Linked DNA regions of Tribolium castaneum. The protein of the gene in region 1 binds, or shares a complex with, the protein of each later gene. Links are inferred from orthologs where the notes say so. Each region holds a gene or a part of one and is shown in the gene's direction. Other genes may lie near its edges. The genes, in order: basement membrane-specific heparan sulfate proteoglycan core protein and stck.

Region 1 (9,805 bases):
CTACCATTACCCTTCTCTTTCAATGTTTTTGTTGTGAACTTTTCTAGTCCCTCTTATCTCTGGTTGTTAGAATTGTTTTAATTTTCTCGTATGATTCTATTAACCCTTAGAATGTAGAAGGCAAAAGTGTGACTTAGATTCAGGCTTGTTTTACAATTATTTCGTTTGCGTTTAGTTTTCACGTGTCCAGAAGACCAGTTTCGGTGTGGTAACGGAGTATGCTTAGATAATCGACGTGTTTGCGATACACATCCTGATTGCCCTGATGGTTCCGACGAACAGAATTGCACTGGACCACTACCTGGCCCTGATGATAAGAGTATGTCTCGGCGTTAATAAGGGCCTTTTAGTAGATTCTGACCTTACTTTTGAACATACTAACTTCTACTACTAAACAATATTTTAGTTCGTAATTTTTAGTCTAACCTTGATAACTACCGCAAATGACTTTGGAAAAGTTCTCATGCTTAATTAATTAGGATTTACTAGTTCCAAGGTGTCTCAGCTATTTTGATCCTAGAAAAATAAATATTTTTGAGACACTCTGGACTGTACAAGTAACATTAGGTACGTCTTTATGTCTAATAAATATTTCTCATGTAGAGATGTCCTGGAAATAATTATATTTGAATTTTTTCCAACATACACGCGTAAAACGAATACGAGTAGCTTTTTATTTGCTATAAATACATTTGACTATATCCCTCTATGTATTTATTGTGACAAAAGTTGGAAAACTAAAACTACGGCAGTAACAATCGGCAACAATCGAAAATGCTGGCCTCTAGCCAGTAAACAATTTATCAAATAATCATAATCACAGGTACCAACAGACCTCATTTTGGATTAAGTAAACACTAACTTTCTTATGTGTATAAAGTGTTAATTAAAAAATTGTATAATCGGATACCTGCCATTAGAATTACGTATTAATGACCCAATATTTTTTAACATAGAAGAGGCCGGTTTACATTTTCGATGTAAACAGACTGATTTGATTGATTTTCGGTCAGTGAACGTAAATTTTGTATGTAGTACTTAGCTAATCCTCTTGTAACTATAAATTAAACTTTGACTAACTACATATTACCTAAAAGTTTCTCATGCTTGTGTTGCTAATAGATGAATTAAGATAAATAACGTTTTATTTTTTACTGTAGGATGTCTCCCTAGTCAATTCGATTGTGGAGATTCTTCTTGCATTAACTCTGAGTTTCGTTGCGATGGATATCAGGACTGTAAGAACGGACGGGATGAAATGGAATGCAGTTCCAGTAAGTCGCGTTTGCACAATGTTGCTACTTAAGTTACATTAAATAATGAATGAGACAAAACATTTGTAAAAATTTTCAGCTTACTGCCATGAAGAAGATGAATTCCGCTGCAGTGACGGCACTTGCATTCCGAATTCTGCGTTTTGTGACGGCGTCCGCCACTGCAGGGACGGCAGTGACGAGCTTGATTGTCCGCCGCCTCCGAGCATATGTACAGTTAATGAATTCCAATGCGATAACGGCGAGTGCATCCCCAATTACCTGCGCTGCGACGGAGTGTCCGAGTGTCCCGACCGATCGGACGAAAGAGAATGTCGTAAGTTTGTTTTTAGTTTACTTGTGACTTCCTCTTTTCCAAACTGTTTTTTACCTCAAACAAATCTGTTTTCTGGCCTTTTGGCCAGGGACATGCCACGAGCCTGACTGGTTCCAGTGTTCGGACGGGCTCTGTGTTGACGCCACCCTTCGCTGCGATAACTTCTACGACTGCCGGGACTTTTCAGACGAACAAAATTGCTTTGGTTAGAGCTCTGTCCATGTTTCTTACTATTTCTGTTGACGTTTTTAGGTGTATTTGGTGTCAGATATTACTAGGGTTCTGTAGCAGTATTAACGCAGTCATAGAGTATTACAGTAGGACATTGTGTGATTTGTAGGTTTCTGGTTTAGAACCGTAGATCGGTGTTACATTTTATTCGATTTTGGCCCATTTTAGCAGTTGATCCCATAGGCTACGTATTCTTATATTTAGTCTACCAATTTGCGAGCATGGTTGTTCCCCACATTTAGTCTGTGTTTTTTTATATTTTTGTATACTCATGATTTTTTATTAATTTCAAATTTGCCTATTATTTCTTTTCAACAAAGAGGCAGAAGTTGGACTCCAGGCAAATCCAGTCTGACGACAGTTTTTATTTATTTTGTTATTTTATTTGTGCACGTTTATTTGCACTAAAAGATTAAAAATAAATGCTTAAAACTAGAAATTATTTTTGTACATTTTAACAGTTAAATTCTAATGAAACAAATGTTAAGCTTATTCATTGAATAATTGTGGGTAACATTACATAATCATTCGAAACTATTGTGTCAATACTCTATCAATCCTCGTTGGTTTATTGCACCCAAGTTTTGTTCGGTTAAAAGTCGAATACTACATTTTTGTAAGTGTTTACGTGTGTGTATACAGTTATACACATTTCCGATACTAATCCATCCATTAGTGTTAATGCCACCGAGAAATTTTTAATGCCGCATCAGTTTTTGGTTTAATTTTTCAAAAATGAAACGAAAAATTGTGATTTGGTTTATGAACATCCCTACACTGTTTTGATAAATATTCATTTTGTAAACTCACAGTTAATTACACTTTTTGTTTAACAGTAAAAAATAATTATCGCCGCGCTATTAGTTACCACAATAATTATGTATTTATATCTATTTCTTTGGCACATTAATAAAGTTTGCGTGTTGTGTTTTACACGAAATCGTTCTTCTACCTAAGTTTATTAACTACAATTTTAAAATAAACTGTTTAAATTAAGTATTTTTATTGTAGTATTCATTTTGGCCGAGTTGCAGTAATAAATCAATTATAAAATAGTGGCCGTTCTAAACGCCTCTGTGACATGTTTCACTTCATTTTTACTTGCTGAAAAATTACGAGACCATCACCATTTAATCATAGAAATTGTCCTTTTTTATTTTCGGAAGAGACAAGATCTAATTGCACTATTTGCTTTTTTAATTTGTTTTTTTCTTTTGTGTTATATTTATTTTGTTTTTTTTTGTTCCCTTCTCGTAGAATGCCGTACAGATCAATTCCAGTGTTCGAATGGAACTTGCATAGCCGGTAATTTACGTTGTAACAGAAGGAATGACTGTAGTGACGGTTCTGATGAGTTTAATTGCCCAACTCAACCACCGCCATTTGTAACAGAACAACCACTGCCACCGAGACCGCCCCAAATCACCTGTTCGCCAGGCACTCAGCCATGCCACAGTGGGGACAGATGCATTCTTCATTCCCAATTTTGCGACGGCAGAGTCGATTGCAACGACATGTCCGACGAAACCAACTGTCGTAAGTGTCTTACCGATTTTGTGATTGTCCTAAATGTCTGTGTGTTTCCCTTGATGTTGTAACCACCTCTAGAACCCAAGCGCGAAGGGGCTTGCTCACGCGGCCAATTTCGGTGCGAAAACGGCCCTTGCATCCGAGAGGAATTGCGATGTGACGGAAAGGTGGATTGTCCGAGAGATTCTAGCGATGAGCTAGATTGTCCAACGCGCTATCGTAAGTCGGTCGCAAGTTAAATTATGCGACTGACCATGATTATTATTTATTTAATAACACGGCCTGTTGTAATTTCTAGTCGGTTGATGGACAATTTAACAACTAATAATCGCTGTAATTTACTGTACATAAAAGATAACTCACTAAATTTAAACAAATTATCTGAAACGTAAATTATGGGGGACGAAGATTAACATTTTAATGACATAATGACGAATTATGCGACAAACATTAATACGATCTTTTTTCTACAGCTGGGCCTAGCGAGGGGCTTAACTTAAGGACCTATCCCAGCTCCCAAGAAATTAAAGAAAGTGAGTATTCAGCTAGTTATCGCTTACTTTTTTGTCCACGTATTTTAGTAATTATTCAGTGCACTTCTTCGTGTATATATTACGCACTATATGTAATGTCTTCTGTGTTGTATACATGTAACTAATGATTTTTATTCTCTTTATGTCTTGTTGGAGCAGACATTTATAAACCTGGTGAGTAAAATGGGCAACTTAGCGGGAATGACTTTCATTCAAAGGCGCCACTTCATGTCTTTCACTTATTTACATAAACCTTCTATACTTTTCCTCGCCTGTGTGTGCGAAATTTATTATTTATTTTGTTTCTACAGGATACCAGTGAGCAAATTCACTTAATTTGGTTATTACTTCTAACAAATTACTTCTTTCAAAAGCTTAGGTACCTACCCTAGCTCTATGAAGATCCAGTAAAATATGTTTGTGTGTAACAGAAACGATTAAATTTGATATTTTTAAATAAATACAAATACAAATTGCAAATTTGTATCCTGTTTGTTTTTACAATCTTCCTTCTGTTTTTTAACATAGTTGTCTTCTTTTTAGTATAGAAGTCTTTATGTGTCTCATAATTTGTATATAATATATCGGCTTTCTGAAAATAAAGGCTTTCTCTCAAGGGATAATGCTTATGGCTTATTACACGTATGTAATTGGGGGTTTTACAATTAATAATTGCATCTACTATTATCAAATAAATTGAGGGAGATAATTAGTTTAATACATTTGTAATTGTATGAAAAATCATAGTTTTATATTTACCTTTTGTGATAACCAAAGTGATAACATTAAACCGTTTAGGAAAGGAACAAAAGATCGTAGGCACCGTTCTAGGAAATACAGAAATTAGAAAAATACTACTTCGAAGGTTGCAGGAATATATTGTTGAAGAGAGTCTACCAAAATTAACGATTGCCACTCGTAATAGTAACCGTCCAAATGAACTTGCAGAAGAAAGACAGTTTCAGAGATGTTCTCGTATTTTGAGTTAATTGTTATTAAAAAAAAGGTTTTAGTCGACCCTCTTCAACATAGTAAATATTACCACTGGGAGTTAAAACACACGATAACCTATTAAAAAAGTTGAAAATAACACCGTTGCACCTTGAAACATCTCATTTAAAAAGCTCCATTATTTAAACGAACATGTAAATAGGGCGCTTAAGTAAAATTTAATCCGAACTGACCCTTCCATAATTTATTAGTCCAGGTGTAAATATGCATGGACTGGTTTCCGCCTTTTTTAACCCAAAACTAATGCATAATAATCCAACCTAGATCGAGAAGTCGTCTTCCAATGCAGAGATGAGGGTCCATTTAGAGCCAGAGTGCGCTGGACGCGACCCAACGGAGAACCATTACCTCCAGGGTCCAGAGACCACAATGGTCGACTTGAAATACCCAACATTAAAGTGGAACACAGCGGAACATACACGTGTGAAGCCGTTGGCTATCCTCCCAACACACCCGGAGCTCACGTCTCAGTGCACCTCCAAGTCGACCGATGTAAGTGCTCAAATCTCACATTTCGTGGTGTTTTCCTCCGACTAACAATGTTACATGCAGTCGGGAGGAGTAAAACCAAATCGTCGCTGTTGAAATATGGAGTCCTGCCTCCTATAGATACTGAGTATCTTGGGACAGGTATTTTTACAATGAATACTAAACGAATTTTTACTAATAGCTCTGTTTTCTCACTGCTTTCTTTTTTCTTACGGTAAGTTTCGCTGTTTTGAAATGTTATATTTTTTAAAAGTGGTGATTAATTTGCTGTTTTTGCAGGGATTCCACCACCAATCCGCCCACCAACAGCTTGTGCCCTCCACGAAGCCACTTGTTCAAACGGCGACTGCATCCCCAAACATCAAGTCTGTGATGAGAAATACGACTGCACCGACGGTTCCGACGAAAACCGTTGCAGTAAGTTGGGTCGTATATTTTGACGTTTAAATATTTCCAAATTATGTAAATCGAAAGACACCAGGTCTTTAAACCACGAGCAATTATCTAATTCAGTGCGAATAAATTTATTTATTTATTTATAAATAAAATTGCCAGACCCCAACGGCTGCGAACCGAACGAATTCCGCTGTGCCAACAAGAAGTGCGTTTTGAAGACCTGGAGATGCGATTCGGACGATGATTGCGGCGACGGCTCCGACGAAGAAAACTGCGCCACAAACCCTCCCGGATCCCTGTGCGCCTACCACCAATTCGCATGCCATTCCAACAACCAATGCATTCCACGAAGCTACCACTGTGATCTGGAACGCGATTGTATCGATGGTAGCGATGAAATCGGTTGTTGTAAGTAAAAAATTTCATCTTAGGCTAAAAATCATCAACGCTTTCGTAGCGATACCCGTGGTCTCTAAACCTCCACCACCGATGGTCAACCTCGAGGTTGGCTCAACTTTCGAAATTACTTGCACGGCAGTCGGTGTTCCCACACCTGAGATTGTGTGGCGTTTGAACTGGGGCCACATTCCGCCCAAGTGCCGCACTACCAGCGATAACGGCTTTGGGACGCTTTCTTGTCCCAACATCCAAGTGGAAGATCAAGGCGCGTATTCTTGCGAAGTTATCAATATCAAGGGGACTGTTTTTGCGATCCCGGACACTATTCTAGTCATCAATCAAAATACTGTCTGTCCTGCTGGCTACTTTAATGAGGAAGCTAGAAGTCAGGCCGAATGCATCAAGTGTTTCTGTTTCGGGCAGTCCACCAAGTGTCGTTCCGCAGACTTGTTTATTTACCATTTCCAACCGCCGTTCGATACTTTAAAACTCTTGGGTGTTCGCATTGATTCGAACACAGGGGTGATTGATATTAGGGATGAACCAATTTACCGAAATGCACAACCTCAGTTGACGGGACTTGGCAGAAATGGTGTTCACGCCCAGTTACCACCATATGGTCAAATCAGCTCGAGCGACCTCGTGCCATACTTTGCCATGCCGGAGAACTACCACGGAAATCAACTGAAGAGTTATGGTGGATATCTGAGGTTTACGGTGCGACATTACAATCGAGGATATACCATAGCAGGACCTACAGTTATTCTCACTGTAAGTTCTTTTAAGTTTTTATTTAACTTATGTTTTATAATCTGGTTGCTTATTACTTTGAGAGGGATTACATTATCCGAACGAACTGAAATTTTACATACACACGTAATCTGCGTGACAATAAATAACAGTTAGGGAATGTTATTATTAGCATTATCGAGTACAAATTTTCAGGGTAATGGTTACACGTTACTGAGCAGACACAACATTAGCCCGCCCTCAAACCGCGACGAACAGATCGAAGTCCGATTCTTTGAGGGCGAATGGGTGAAACGTTCGGACCGTCAACTAGAAACACCAGCAACGCGCGAAGAAATAATGATGGCTTTGGCCGAAGTTGACAACATTTTAATTAAATTGCAATACAATGAAGGTCCACTTAACACCACAATCACCAACATAGAAATGGACTCTGCGGGGGCACCCAACAGTGGTCTAGGCCCAGCGTCGTACGTGGAAGAGTGCGAATGTCCTGTTGGTTACAGCGGATCGTCTTGTGAGCGTTGCGCTGATGGATTTGTGCGTCACAAGACCGGCCCCTGGCTTGGACAATGTTACCGCGTCCAACCACAACCATGTCCTCCAGGAACTTACGGAGATCCGTCACGGGGAAGACCGTGTGAGATTTGCCCATGTCCTCTCACAAGTCCCAGCAATCAGTAAGTGTGGATTGAGGAATATTTGTTGCATTAATTCGGTGAATAGGTTTGCCAGAACTTGTTCACTGGGGTCCGATGGTGAGGTTACTTGTGACTGTCCACCGGGATATGTCGGGAGACGCTGCGAACAGTGTGCTCCTGGTTATTCTGGAAATCCTCTGATTCCGGGTGATTCGTGCCGGGCTTCCTCGTATTGCAATTCGGAAGGGACAAGTCTTGAAGAGCAAGGAAGGTGTCGGTGCAAAGTGAGTAGAATTTTTGATGATTTTTCCATTTTTGGAATTTAATACTAACATCGCGAAACTTTTTTCACGCTCGTTTCCGCTCTATGGTAAGTGCAGCAATTTATCCTTGTCATTATTTTGACTACTTGCCGATTTAGTTACTCTTAAAAAATTATCCATAAATTGGGTGTCACACATTTTGATTAAAATCTTTATCTTGTCAGGATTACGTTGATGGTCCGACTTGTGACACCTGCAAGGCTAACACCTTCCATCTCAGCGGAGAAAACCAATTCGGGTGTATCGCCTGCTTCTGCATGGGTGTCACAAGACAGTGTAGCAGTTCTACATGGTTCAGGGACCAAATCAGTACTACTTTTACAAGTTCGCGTGACCATTTCACTCTTATTGATACCGAAAGAAGAGAAGAACCCATCACAGACGCAATCAGACTGGATCAAAATCAACGCGAAATTTCCTATAGCAGTTTCTCCAACCCCAACGTCCATTACTGGTCACTTCCTCGTCGTTACTTAGGAAATAAAATAGCTTCGTACGGTGGTTACTTAAAGTACACGTTACGCTACGTTCCTTTACCGGGTGGCCAGATATCTAGGAATTCGGCTGCTGATGTAGAACTCGTCAGTGTAAGTTTCGGAAAAGTCTGGTTGTTTTTTTTTTTGAGGGAGTGTTTTTAGGCCAATGAAATAACTTTATTGTACTACGCAAGGGAACAATCTCAACCGACTGGATCGCCGCAAACTTTCGTAGTTCCATTATTGGAGCAATACTGGCAACGTAGCGACGGCCAAAAGGCCGACCGTGAGCACTTGCTAATGGCTTTGGCCGATTTGAATGCCATTTATATCAAAGCGACTTACAATACCAACACTCGAGAGTCGGCGTAAGTAATTTTCGCCTCGTGCTATGGCTTTAATTAAATAAGCAAACTTAGATTGATTTCGGTGTCTCTGGATACGGCAAACGAATACAACACTGGATCCAGCGAGCGCGCTTTAGCCGTTGAACAGTGCCGCTGTCCGGAGGGCTACACGGGTTTGTCTTGTGAAGACTGCGCCGTTGGATACACCCGAGCTGAAGAAGGAATCTACCTTGGAATTTGCGAACCTTGCAACTGCAACGGTAACTCTAGAGAGTGTCATCCAGAAACCGGCGTGTGCCAGAACTGCGATAACTTCACCACTGGGGATAACTGCGAGTTGTGTCTGCCGGGATATGAAGGCGACCCTGCAAACGGCATTCCGTGTGTTGGGGGAAGCTCACAGTGCAACTGCGACCAACAAGGGGCGATTTCACCCGAGTGTTACAACGGAATTTGTCGGTGTAAGGTAGGTCAAAAATGGTGGATGCGCCGGGATCATTACTTAACTTGTTGAAAAATGTGTTAGTTTCGGCCTGGTTTTGCAATAAAATGTGATTAATGTTTAGACCAACGTGGAAGGCAACCGTTGTAACCGCTGCCGGCCGGGGACTTTCGGTTTAAGTGGCGGCAACATCCACGGTTGTCAAACCTGCTTCTGCTCCGGAGTGGCCACCGAATGTGTGGAAGGCAACCTGTTCTACGAACAAATTCCGATATTTATTGATGCTGACCGACATGGATTTACCCTCACAGACCAGTAATTAAAAAAAAAATATATCTAAAAGATTTTCTGATTTGTGTGTTTTTGAAGGTACCAAACACAGCGCATCGATTCCGGCTTCCAAATTCACACTTCCATGAACGAAATCGGCTACACGTTCCGCCCGAGCACTTCAGAGAGATGGTTTTGGTCGCTTCCGCGCGAATTCACAGGCAACCAGGTCAAGTCTTACGGCGGCCGACTTGAGTTCACGCAGCGCTTCACCCAACGTCCGCAAGCTGGCTACGTTCCTGACAAGAGCGTCATTATCATCGGCAACGGCATTACTATTTATTGGACGAATCCGCAATCGCAAATTCCCGATGTCC
Region 2 (9,805 bases), on another chromosome or scaffold:
ATAAAATTTTGGTCGAAAATTGCGTTGTCTTTGAACGGTTGTTTACTTTATTGCAACTTTTTTGAGTCGAAATTATTTATTATTATTATTTGAACAATTACTAAATAGGGGCAAAAATAAAAATAAATTTTGCTTTTTTCGTCCGTATTTTACATTTTTTAGAGACTTTATTATTAATATTTCTCAAAAATTTGGTGGAAAAGACAATAAATGACCAAAACAGAGCGAACATTGTGTGATTTGACCTTTTTTGCGTTAGCCAAAAATAACCAGAAAAAATGTGGAGTGGGGTGGTGAGAATTTGAGCTAAAAACTGTGTTATTTTTGCAAGATTTTTCAATGTCAAGCCGAAAAGTCACCAAATTAGATCGAAACTGATCCTCATATTACCTTTTTCAAGCGTTTAAACAAGGTTTTAAGATAAAAACCGATCGTTTTTCGGCTTTTAGTTCAATTTTTGAGCACTTATTTCGAATTTTGTTGGAAACAAATCGATGAAACACTAAATTCGGTCGAAATTTTCGCTAAATTTTATCAATAATCAGTCGAAAAACTTTAAAATTATCTCAAAAAATGGTATATTATACCTTTTTTGTGAGGTAAAAACTTTGTTTTTCTAAGATTTTCTCTCTTCTAGCAATTTCGCAAAATTGCTCGAAAATCAATCGAAAATTGCTTTTTTTTGGAACAGTTGTGCACTTTATAGTGCTAAAAACTCGAGAAATTAAATAGCTTTTAATTTTTTTGGACGCTTTATTGCAACTTTCTTCAGTCTAAAACTCAATTGTTTATTTGAAAAAAAAAGAAAGACAGTTATTCGTTTACAGAAACGACTATATTATTAATTTTTTTTCAAAATTTGGTGAGAAAGACGTCAAAAAATTTGGTCAAAGCGAAAATGGTGTGAAAACTGCCGATTTTTTACAATGTGAGGCAAGAAAAAATGTTTTTATTGCCTTTTTTGGCCGTTTTTGTGCGTTTTCTTTGCATAAAAGTAAAATAATATTATTTAAAGTTGGAGATAATTTAGCTAACGGTTTGATATAGTAGTACATTACGTCAAAAATTAATTTGTTTTTTCGTTTTTTTAAGTCTCTTGGCACGTTTTCCAATAAATTTCATTTTAAACACGTTTTACTGCTTTAATCTATTTTTTTTTGTGGGAGATATTTGATATAAATTCACCGACAAATCATAAAATTTTGGTCGAAAATTAAATAATCATTTTGATTTTAGCAAGTTATTTCAGTTAAATTTTTTTTTTTTTTGAAAAATTACCGAAAAAATATTAAGTGATGGCGAAAATGAACGTTCTATTGCAGTTTTTTTTAGGTCAAGCCGAATAATTTTGAAATTAAATCTTTACTGGCATTCTTCTTTCATTTTTTTATTCTTTAAGCTAGGTTTTATGTCGAAAATATCATTATTATTGCCTGAAAGAAGAAATTAAAAAAAAATTGCCGAAAACAAGTCAAAAATTAGCACAATAGGGTGAAAATTGTGATGGTTTTGCCTGTTTTCACAGGTATTGAGCTAAAAACTGAGTTTTTTTGCGAAATTTTACAATATCAGGCAAAAATCAGCAAGTTAAATCGAAAGTATTCATAATTGTGTTTTTTTTTTCAATAAATTTTACGTTGAACATAAACTCTCTTTTTCTTATTTTTTTAAATTTTATTTATTATTGCGAAAATTAAATGATTGTTCGGTTTTAACAAGTTATTTCAGTTAGATCATATTTTTGAAAAATTTCATTAAAAAAATAAGCGGAAAAATCACAAGATTTTTTAGAACGCTTTCGGACTTGAAACTGATTTTTTTTTCACAAAATCTTCCTAAGTTAAGCTAAAGAATTATGGAATTAAATCACCAATGAAATTCTTTTTCCTTTTTCCGAATGTTGAAGCTTATTTTTATGTAAAAAAATTACTTTATTTTTGCCTTTTTAGACCATTTAACATTTTTTTTAAACGGAAATGCAACTATTTTGAAAAAATCTGTCGAAAATAAGCCAGAAATTACCACAAAAAAGTGGAAATGGTGAACTGTGTTTTTTGGAAGATTTTTCAATATCAAGCCGAAAAGTCACCAAATTAGATCGAAACTGATCCTCATACTATCTTTTTCAAGCGTTTAAACAAGGTTTTAAGATAAAAAGCGATCGTTTTTCGGCTTTTAGTTCAATTTTTGAGCATTTATTTCGAATTTTGTTGGAAACAAATCGATGAAACACTAAATTCGGTCGAAATTTTCGCTAAATTTTATCAATAATCAGTCGGAAAACTTTAAAATTATCTCAAAAAATGGTATATTTTATCTTTTTTGTGAGGTAAAAACTTTGTTTTTCTAAGATTTTCTCTCTTGTTCGAGCAATTTCGCAAAATTGCTCGAAAATCAATCGAAAATTGCGTTATTTTTGAACAGTTGTGCACTTTATAGTGCTAAAAACTCGAGAAATTAAATAGCTTTTAATTTTTTTGGACGCTTTATTGCAACTTTCTTCAGTCTAAAACTCAATTGTTTATTTGAAAAAAAAGAAAGTTTTTCGTTTACAGAAACGACTATATTATTAATTTTTTTTCAAAATTTGGTGAGATAGACGTCAAAAAATTTGGTCAAAGCGAAAATGGTGTGAAAACTGCGGATTTTTTACAATGTGAGGCAAGAAAAAATGTTTTTATTGCCTTTTTTGGCCGTTTTTGTGCGTTTTCTTTGCATAAAAGTAAAATAATATTATTTAAAGTTGGAGATAATTTAGCTAACGGTTTGATATAGTAGTACATTACGTCAAAAATTAATTTGTTTTTTTTTGTTTTTTTTAAGTCTCTTGGCACGTTTTCCAATAAATTTTATTTTAAACATGTTTTACTGCTTTAATCTATTTTTTTTGTGGGAGATATTTGATATAAATCCACCGACAAATCATAAAATTTTGGTCGAAAATTGCGTTGTCTTTGAACGGTTGTTTACTTTATTGCAACTTTTTTGAGTCGAAATTATTTATTATTAATATTTGAACAATTACTAAATAGGGGCAAAAATAAAAATAAATTTTGCTTTTTTCGTCCGTATTTTACATTTTTTAGAGACTTTATTATTAATATTTTTTAAAAATTTGGTGGAAAAGACAATAAATGACCAAAACAGAGCGAAAATTGTGTGATTTGTCCTCTTTTGCGTTAGCCAAAAATAACCAGAAAAAAAGTGGAGTGGGGTGGTGAGTATTTGAGCTAAAAACTGAGTTATTTTTGCAAGATTTTTCAATGTCAAGCCGAAAAGTCACCAAATTAGATCGAAACTGATCCTCATATTACCTTTTTCAAGCGTTTAAACAAGGTTTTAAGATAAAAACCGATCGTTTTTCGGCTTTTAGTTCAATTTTTGAGCACTTATTTCGAATTTTGTTGGAAACAAATCGATGAAACACTAAATTCGGTCGAAATTTTCGCTAAATTTTATCAATAATCAGTCGAAAAACTTTAAAATTATCTCAAAAAATGGTATATTTTACCTTTTTTGTGAGGTAAAAACTTTGTTTTTCTAAGATTTTCTCTCTTGTTTTAGCAATTTCGCAAAATTGCTCGAAAATCAATCGAAAATTGCGTTATTTTTGAACAGTTGTGCACTTTATAGTGCTAAAAACTCGAGAAATTAAATAATTTTTTTGGACGCTTTATTGCAACTTTCTTCAGTCTAAAACTCAATTGTTTATTTGAAAAAAAAAGAAAGACAGTTTTTCGTTTACAGAAACGACTATATTATTAATTTTTTTTCAAAATTTGGTGAGAAAGACGTCAAAAAATTTGGTCAAAGCGAAAATGGTGTGAAAACTGCGGATTTTTTACAATGTGAGGCAAGAAAAAATGTTTTTATTGCCTTTTTTTTGCATAAAAGTAAAATAATATTATTTAAAGTTGGAGATAATTTAGCTAACGGTTTGATATAGTAGTACATTACGTCAAAAATTAATTTGTTTTTTCGTTTTTTTTAAGTCTCTTGGCACGTTTTCCAATAAATTTCATTTTAAACACGTTTTACTGCTTTAATCTATTTTTTTTTGTGGGAGATATTTGATATAAATTCACCGACAAATCATAAAATTTTGGTCGAAAATTAAATAATCATTTTGATTTTAGCAAGTTATTTCAGTTCAAAATTTTTTTTTTTTTGAAAAATTACCGAAAAAATATTAAGTGATGGCGAAAATGAACGTTCTATTGCAGTTTTTTTTAGGTCAAGCCGAATAATTACGAAATTAAATCTTTACTGGCATTCTTCTTTCATTTTTTTATTCTTTAAGCTAGGTTTTATGTCGAAAATATCATTATTATTGCCTGAAAGAAGAAATTAAAAAAAAAATTGCCGAAAATAAGTCAAAAATTAGCACAGTAGGGTAAAAATTGTGATGGTTTTGCCTGTTTTCACAGGTATTGAGCTAAAAACTGAGTTTTTTTGCGAAATTTTACAATATCAGACAAAAAATCAACAAGTTAAATCGAAAGTATTTATAATTGTGTTTTTTTTTTTCAATAAATTTTACGTTGAACATAAACTCTCTTTTTCTTATTTTTTTAAATTTTATTTATTATTGCGAAAATTAAATGATTATTCGGTTTTAACAAGTTATTTCAGTTAGATCAGATTTTTGAAAAATTTCATTAAAAAAACAAGCGGAAAAATCACAAGATTTTTTAGAACGCTTTCGGACTTGAAACTGATTTTTTTTTCACAAAATCTTCCTAAGTTAAGCTAAAGAATTACGGAATTAAATCACCAATGAAATTCTTTTTCCTTTTTCCGAATGTTGAAGCTTATTTTTATGTAAAAAAATTACTTTATTTTTGCCTTTTTAGACCATTTAACATTTTTTTTAAACGGAAATGCAACTATTTTGAAAAAATCTGTCGAAAATAAGCCAGAAATGACCACAAAAAAGTGGAAATGGTGAGCTGTGTTTTTTGGAAGATTTTTCAATATCAAGCCGAAAAGTCACCAAATTAGATCGAAATTGATGTTCATATGGTCCTTTTCAAGCGTTTAAACATATAATAGTTCAATTTTTGAACAATTATTTCGAATTTTGTCGGAAAAAATCGATGAAACACTAAACTCGGTCGAAATTTCATCAAAAATCTGTCGAAAAATCTCAAAATTAGCTCAAAAATGGTATATTTTACTTATTTTCTAGCTAAAAATTTTCTATTTATCCAAGTTTTTATTAACGAAATAGTGTTATTTTTGAAAGTTTTTGAACTTAAAAGGTCAAAAAGTCATGTTAGGTCAAAAATAAAATCATGTTTGCTTTCTTTTTCAGTGAGACAGGCAATTATTTCCCCGCGAAACTTCTTTTTTTTTCTTTTCTTTAACCTGAAATTTTACATAATTGCACTTCGGCTCATTTTTTGAACAATAATTATTCCGAATTTTGTCGAGAATAAGTCGATAAATCACAAAATTTGGTCGAAATTGGTGTTTTCACTCGAAAAACTTCAAAATTACGTCAAAAAAATGAAATAAACTAAACAAAAATAGAAATAAGAAAAAATAGTATATTACATTTGTTCCATTGGAGCACTCCTTCGTCGTGCTCCAAAACCATTCGTGCCCCAATTTTTACTATTTCACTATTTTCTGCTGTCTTTTTCAGTAAGAAAGGCAATTAAATTGTTTTTTTTTTGTTTACAAGATTTTAGTAAGCAGGAAATTTGCAAATTTCTAAAAAAAATTGTCAAAAAATCAACAAAATCTGTTGAAAAAAGCGATAATTTGGTCAAAAATGCCCTTTTTTTTTCAGTGCTTTGATCGACGACAAGCCGCTGAAATTCCGCGGTGAAATGTACCACCCGTACCATTTCAATTGTACCAACTGTGGAGTTGAGCTTGACTACACAGCCAGAGAAGTGAGAAGTCGTCCTGGCTTTGCAGCAAACGACATGAACGAGTTATACTGTCTTCGCTGTCACGACAAAATGGGGATTCCCATATGTGGTGCTTGTCGGCGCCCAATCGAAGAACGTGTCGTCACAGCCCTTGGCAAACACTGGCATGTTGAAGTAAAAAAAATACCAAAAAAAACCGGCAATAAAACTAACGCAACTTTTGCAGCATTTCGTTTGCGCCAAATGCGAGAAACCGTTCTTCGGTCATCGCCACTACGAAAAAAAGGGCTTGGCTTATTGCGAGACACACTACCACCAACTTTTCGGGAATTTGTGCTTCGTTTGCAACCAAGTCATCGCAGGGGATGGTAATTTTTTTTAGTTAGAAAAAAATTCAAAATAATGTGGTTTCAGTTTTTACAGCGCTGAATAAAGCGTGGTGTGTTCACCACTTCGCCTGTTCGGTTTGCGACCAGAAAATGAACCAGAAGACGAAGTTCTACGAGTGCGACCTTAAACCGGTATGTAAAAAATGTTACGATAAATTTCCCACTGAGTTGAGAAGGAGGCTAAAGCGGCAACACGAGGCCATGCCGCAAAGAAAAGCGGCAACGCCAACTTAATTTGTGCCTTAATCTACATTTCAACTATGAATAAAAAAATAATTTTTTACTACTCTACTACTCATACTAATGTGGTGGCAACACTGAACTTGATAATTATTGAGTGTCACTCAGAAAAAATAAGGAATAAAGTACGTAAAAATATAGATATTGTAGTTGCTTCAGTTGTTCAAACTGATTTCATGACCTGCCTAAAAACATTATTATTTATATAGACATACTGGTGCTCGATTTTTATAATAATTGTGTCGAAGTATCGTTAACATTTAAATTCATTTAACATTGACATAGTCATTAATAAAAGGCTTATAATACTGTCGTTGTATTTTTCGCCTATCTATCCAAGTCCTTTAATCATATTTCCTTTAAACAAATTTTCCTGATAGCACCTTAAAAGTTTATGATTGGTGTTTTATTTCTGAAGTAAAATACCAATTTCAGTAATTTTATTGAACGTCTGAAGTACCTATACAGGGTGGGGCTCCTAGACGTGTTTTACACTATATCTCAGAAACTAATAGTCGCACTTGATTGAGCGTTTGATATAAAATACCTATTGATTTTCTCTATATAAGTGATTTTTTTCAGAATTTTTCTACTTTTCGTTATAGTTATAATGAAGTTTAAAATACGAAAATATTATTTAATCGAAATTTTATGCTTAATTTTTTTGTTTTGAGAATATAATTTTTAATAAAAATTTTGCCAACACGAAAATTACGTTTATTTTGATTTTTACTGAATTATACAGAGTGTCCATTTTTCGAGGTCCACTATAGGGATCTCAGTTATTATGAGAGATACGAGGTCGGTTTAATTAGGACAAAGTTGCGCATTTTTATACTGAACAATTATCTGAAAGAAAATTTGATGTCTTTTTGAATTAATGAAAAAAAAACAGAAATTTGGTTTTTTGTTTTTATTTTTTTTAAGTCAAAACCAAAAGAACTAGACGTTTTTAAGGTGGACATTGTTCAGGCACTTTTTTACAAGGAATCTGAATCTGTCATCGCCTTTTCCAAGGCCTTCTTGATGTCAGAGTTACGACACTCAACTTTGGTTTTTCTTATAGACGCCATATTTGAAATTTGTATTTTTGAAAAGTCCTTTTGTTCCTGATTTCAATGGTGTATCACACGATATGATTGAATCTTACATGCTGATTAAAATGAAGAAAGCGTTTTTGCAAAGATTGCTTTGGAAAAAACGTCAAAAATGTTGTTTAACAAACTAAACTCTGACAGTAAGTAAGTTAGTTTGACGAAAATGTGAACGTTCTAGATTCAAATTCAATTAAACGTTCAAAATATAATTTATTTTAATTTTTACTTAATTATACAGAGTGTCCATTTTTCGAGGCCTATCATGAGGATCTCGTTATTATAAGATACGAGGTCGGTTCAATTAGGGAAAAGTTGTGCATTTTTATACTGAACAATTATCTAAAAGAAAATTTGATGTGTCTTTTTTAGTTTTTGAATTATTGAAAAAAAAACGGAAATATGTAATTTTCGTTTTTATTTTTTTGAACGAAAACCAAAAGAACTAGACGTTTTTAAGTTGGACATTCTTCAGGCACTTTTTTACAAGGAATTTAAATCTGTTATCGCCTTTTCCAAGGCGTTCTTGATGTCAGAGTTACGACACTCAACTTTGGTTTTTCTTATAGACGTCTAATTTGAAACTTGTATTTTTGAAGAGTTTTTTTATTTCTGATTTCAATGATGTATCACATGATATGATCGAATCTTAAATGCTGATTAAAATGAAGAAAAAAGCCTTTTTGCAAAGAGTGCTTTGGAAAAAACGTCAAAAATGTTGTTTAACAAATTTGACATATCTATTAAATATGCGAGCAAAATTTTTTTAAGTTTCTCTTGCTTTGGTATGCGAAGAAACGCCAAAAATTTTGTTTAACATACTAAATTTTGACAGTTCTATTGAATATGCAAACAGAATTTTTATAACATTGTCTTGTTTTGTTATGCGAAGAATAAACTTATAGCTTATTATGTCGTTTAGTGTTTAAGTACCCAAGATTGACGTAAATGTGAACGTTCTAGAATCAAATACAATTAAACTTCTAAAACGTAGTTGGCGGCTTTTTTTCCAAAGCACTCTTCGCAAAAATGCTTTTTTCTCCATTTTGATCATCACGTAAGATTCGGTCATATTATGTGATACATCGTTGTAACCAGAAATAAACACTTTACAAAAACGCAAAAATTGAATATGGCTTTCATAAGAAAAAAAAGTTCAGTGTTGTAATTCTAACATTAAGAACGTCTTGGAAAATACAATGACAGAAATAGATTTATTGTAAAAAGTACTTGAAGAATGTCCTAGTTAAAAACGTCCAGTTCTTTTAGTTTTCGCTTGAGAAAATAATAACTCACAAACTAAAAATGACATTAAATTAAATATTAAATGAATAAAAAAACATCAAACATTATTTATATGTTTTTCAGACCACAAAAATTAACTTGTTGAAAATTTCATAACCAACCATAATACCCACATAAAATAACAAAATTTTGTTACTTTTGCTTTTTGTCTCAAATCTGTATCTTTTATAGTGGGGAAGATAGAAACTTTTTAACATTCCGCTAAAATGGGACGGGTGTCATCTGTTGATGTTAGTGAAAGTAACAAAAAGACGTTTTAATTGGACGTCGTGTGCATCCTAGTATTTAGTTTTCCGTAATTTTCACGAATTTTTTTTCAATTCGTGCCCTCTATGAGTTGGTGGCGACAACCCACCGCCTTTTTCCTGTAATCGATTGCCGCCCGGTCGGTAAGCGCGGCAGCTGTAACTTGTGCATGCGCAAGTGGGCCCATTTTAGCCAAGCCGACCACCATTTTCGAGTTTACAGTTCGTACAAATAATGTGTTGAAAATTTTTTGAATCAAGCAAAATGGAAAATCGTGCAAATATTTTGCGTGCAATGCAAATTTGCCGATTTTGCCTGAATGAAGAAGGTCCACTGACAAATATCTACGAACGTCAGGGCAAGGACAACAAGCAAACTGTTCCACTGCCGCTCCAGCTAATGGCGTGCGTTGCAATCGAGGTTTGTAAATTAGCTAATTTTCTAGGCGTCCTACAGGGAAACACCGCAACTACTGTAAAAGTTTGCTTTATTTTTACTAAATCTGTAAGACATGATTCAGGTTTTTACTTCCCGAGTTCGGATTATTTATTTAAATCGTAAAAATACCAATACAAAGTAAGCAGTTTTTGGGCAAATAAAAATCAATGCAGACACTTTTGTTTGCAAATAATTTGTCAGTGCTACTCTGATT

What was found.
Region 2: basement membrane-specific heparan sulfate proteoglycan core protein (region 1) and stck share a complex: the UniProt entries of both Caenorhabditis elegans proteins name them as parts of the integrin containing attachment complex. The link is inferred for Tribolium castaneum from reciprocal best matches to the Caenorhabditis elegans genes unc-52 and unc-97.

The regions. Positions count from the first base shown.
Region 1 is NC_087398.1:9,118,503-9,128,307, reverse strand, and holds part of basement membrane-specific heparan sulfate proteoglycan core protein, read left to right. Parts: intron 1-175; coding exon 176-319; intron 320-1,160; coding exon 1,161-1,274; intron 1,275-1,353; coding exon 1,354-1,590; intron 1,591-3,078; coding exon 3,079-3,357; intron 3,358-3,429; coding exon 3,430-3,570; intron 3,571-3,824; coding exon 3,825-3,884; intron 3,885-4,043; coding exon 4,044-4,058; intron 4,059-5,159; coding exon 5,160-5,387; intron 5,388-5,663; coding exon 5,664-5,801; intron 5,802-5,939; coding exon 5,940-6,188; intron 6,189-6,237; coding exon 6,238-6,950; intron 6,951-7,124; coding exon 7,125-7,609; intron 7,610-7,655; coding exon 7,656-7,854; intron 7,855-8,057; coding exon 8,058-8,480; intron 8,481-8,531; coding exon 8,532-8,737; intron 8,738-8,788; coding exon 8,789-9,182; intron 9,183-9,282; coding exon 9,283-9,473; intron 9,474-9,527; coding exon 9,528-9,805. UniProt on the Caenorhabditis elegans protein: Component of an integrin containing attachment complex, which is required for muscle development and maintenance. Probable structural role in myofilament assembly and/or attachment of the myofilament lattice to the cell membrane.
Region 2 is NC_087400.1:2,460,093-2,469,897, forward strand, and holds the end of stck (LIM and senescent cell antigen-like-containing domain protein 1), read left to right. Parts: intron 1-5,794; coding exon 5,795-6,053; intron 6,054-6,105; coding exon 6,106-6,247; intron 6,248-6,293; coding exon 6,294-6,502; 3' UTR 6,503-6,817; downstream 6,818-9,805. Other genes in the region: histone-lysine N-methyltransferase PRDM9, read left to right, coding at 9,418-9,573. UniProt on the Caenorhabditis elegans protein: Component of an integrin containing attachment complex, which is required for muscle development and maintenance. Probably function in adherens junction.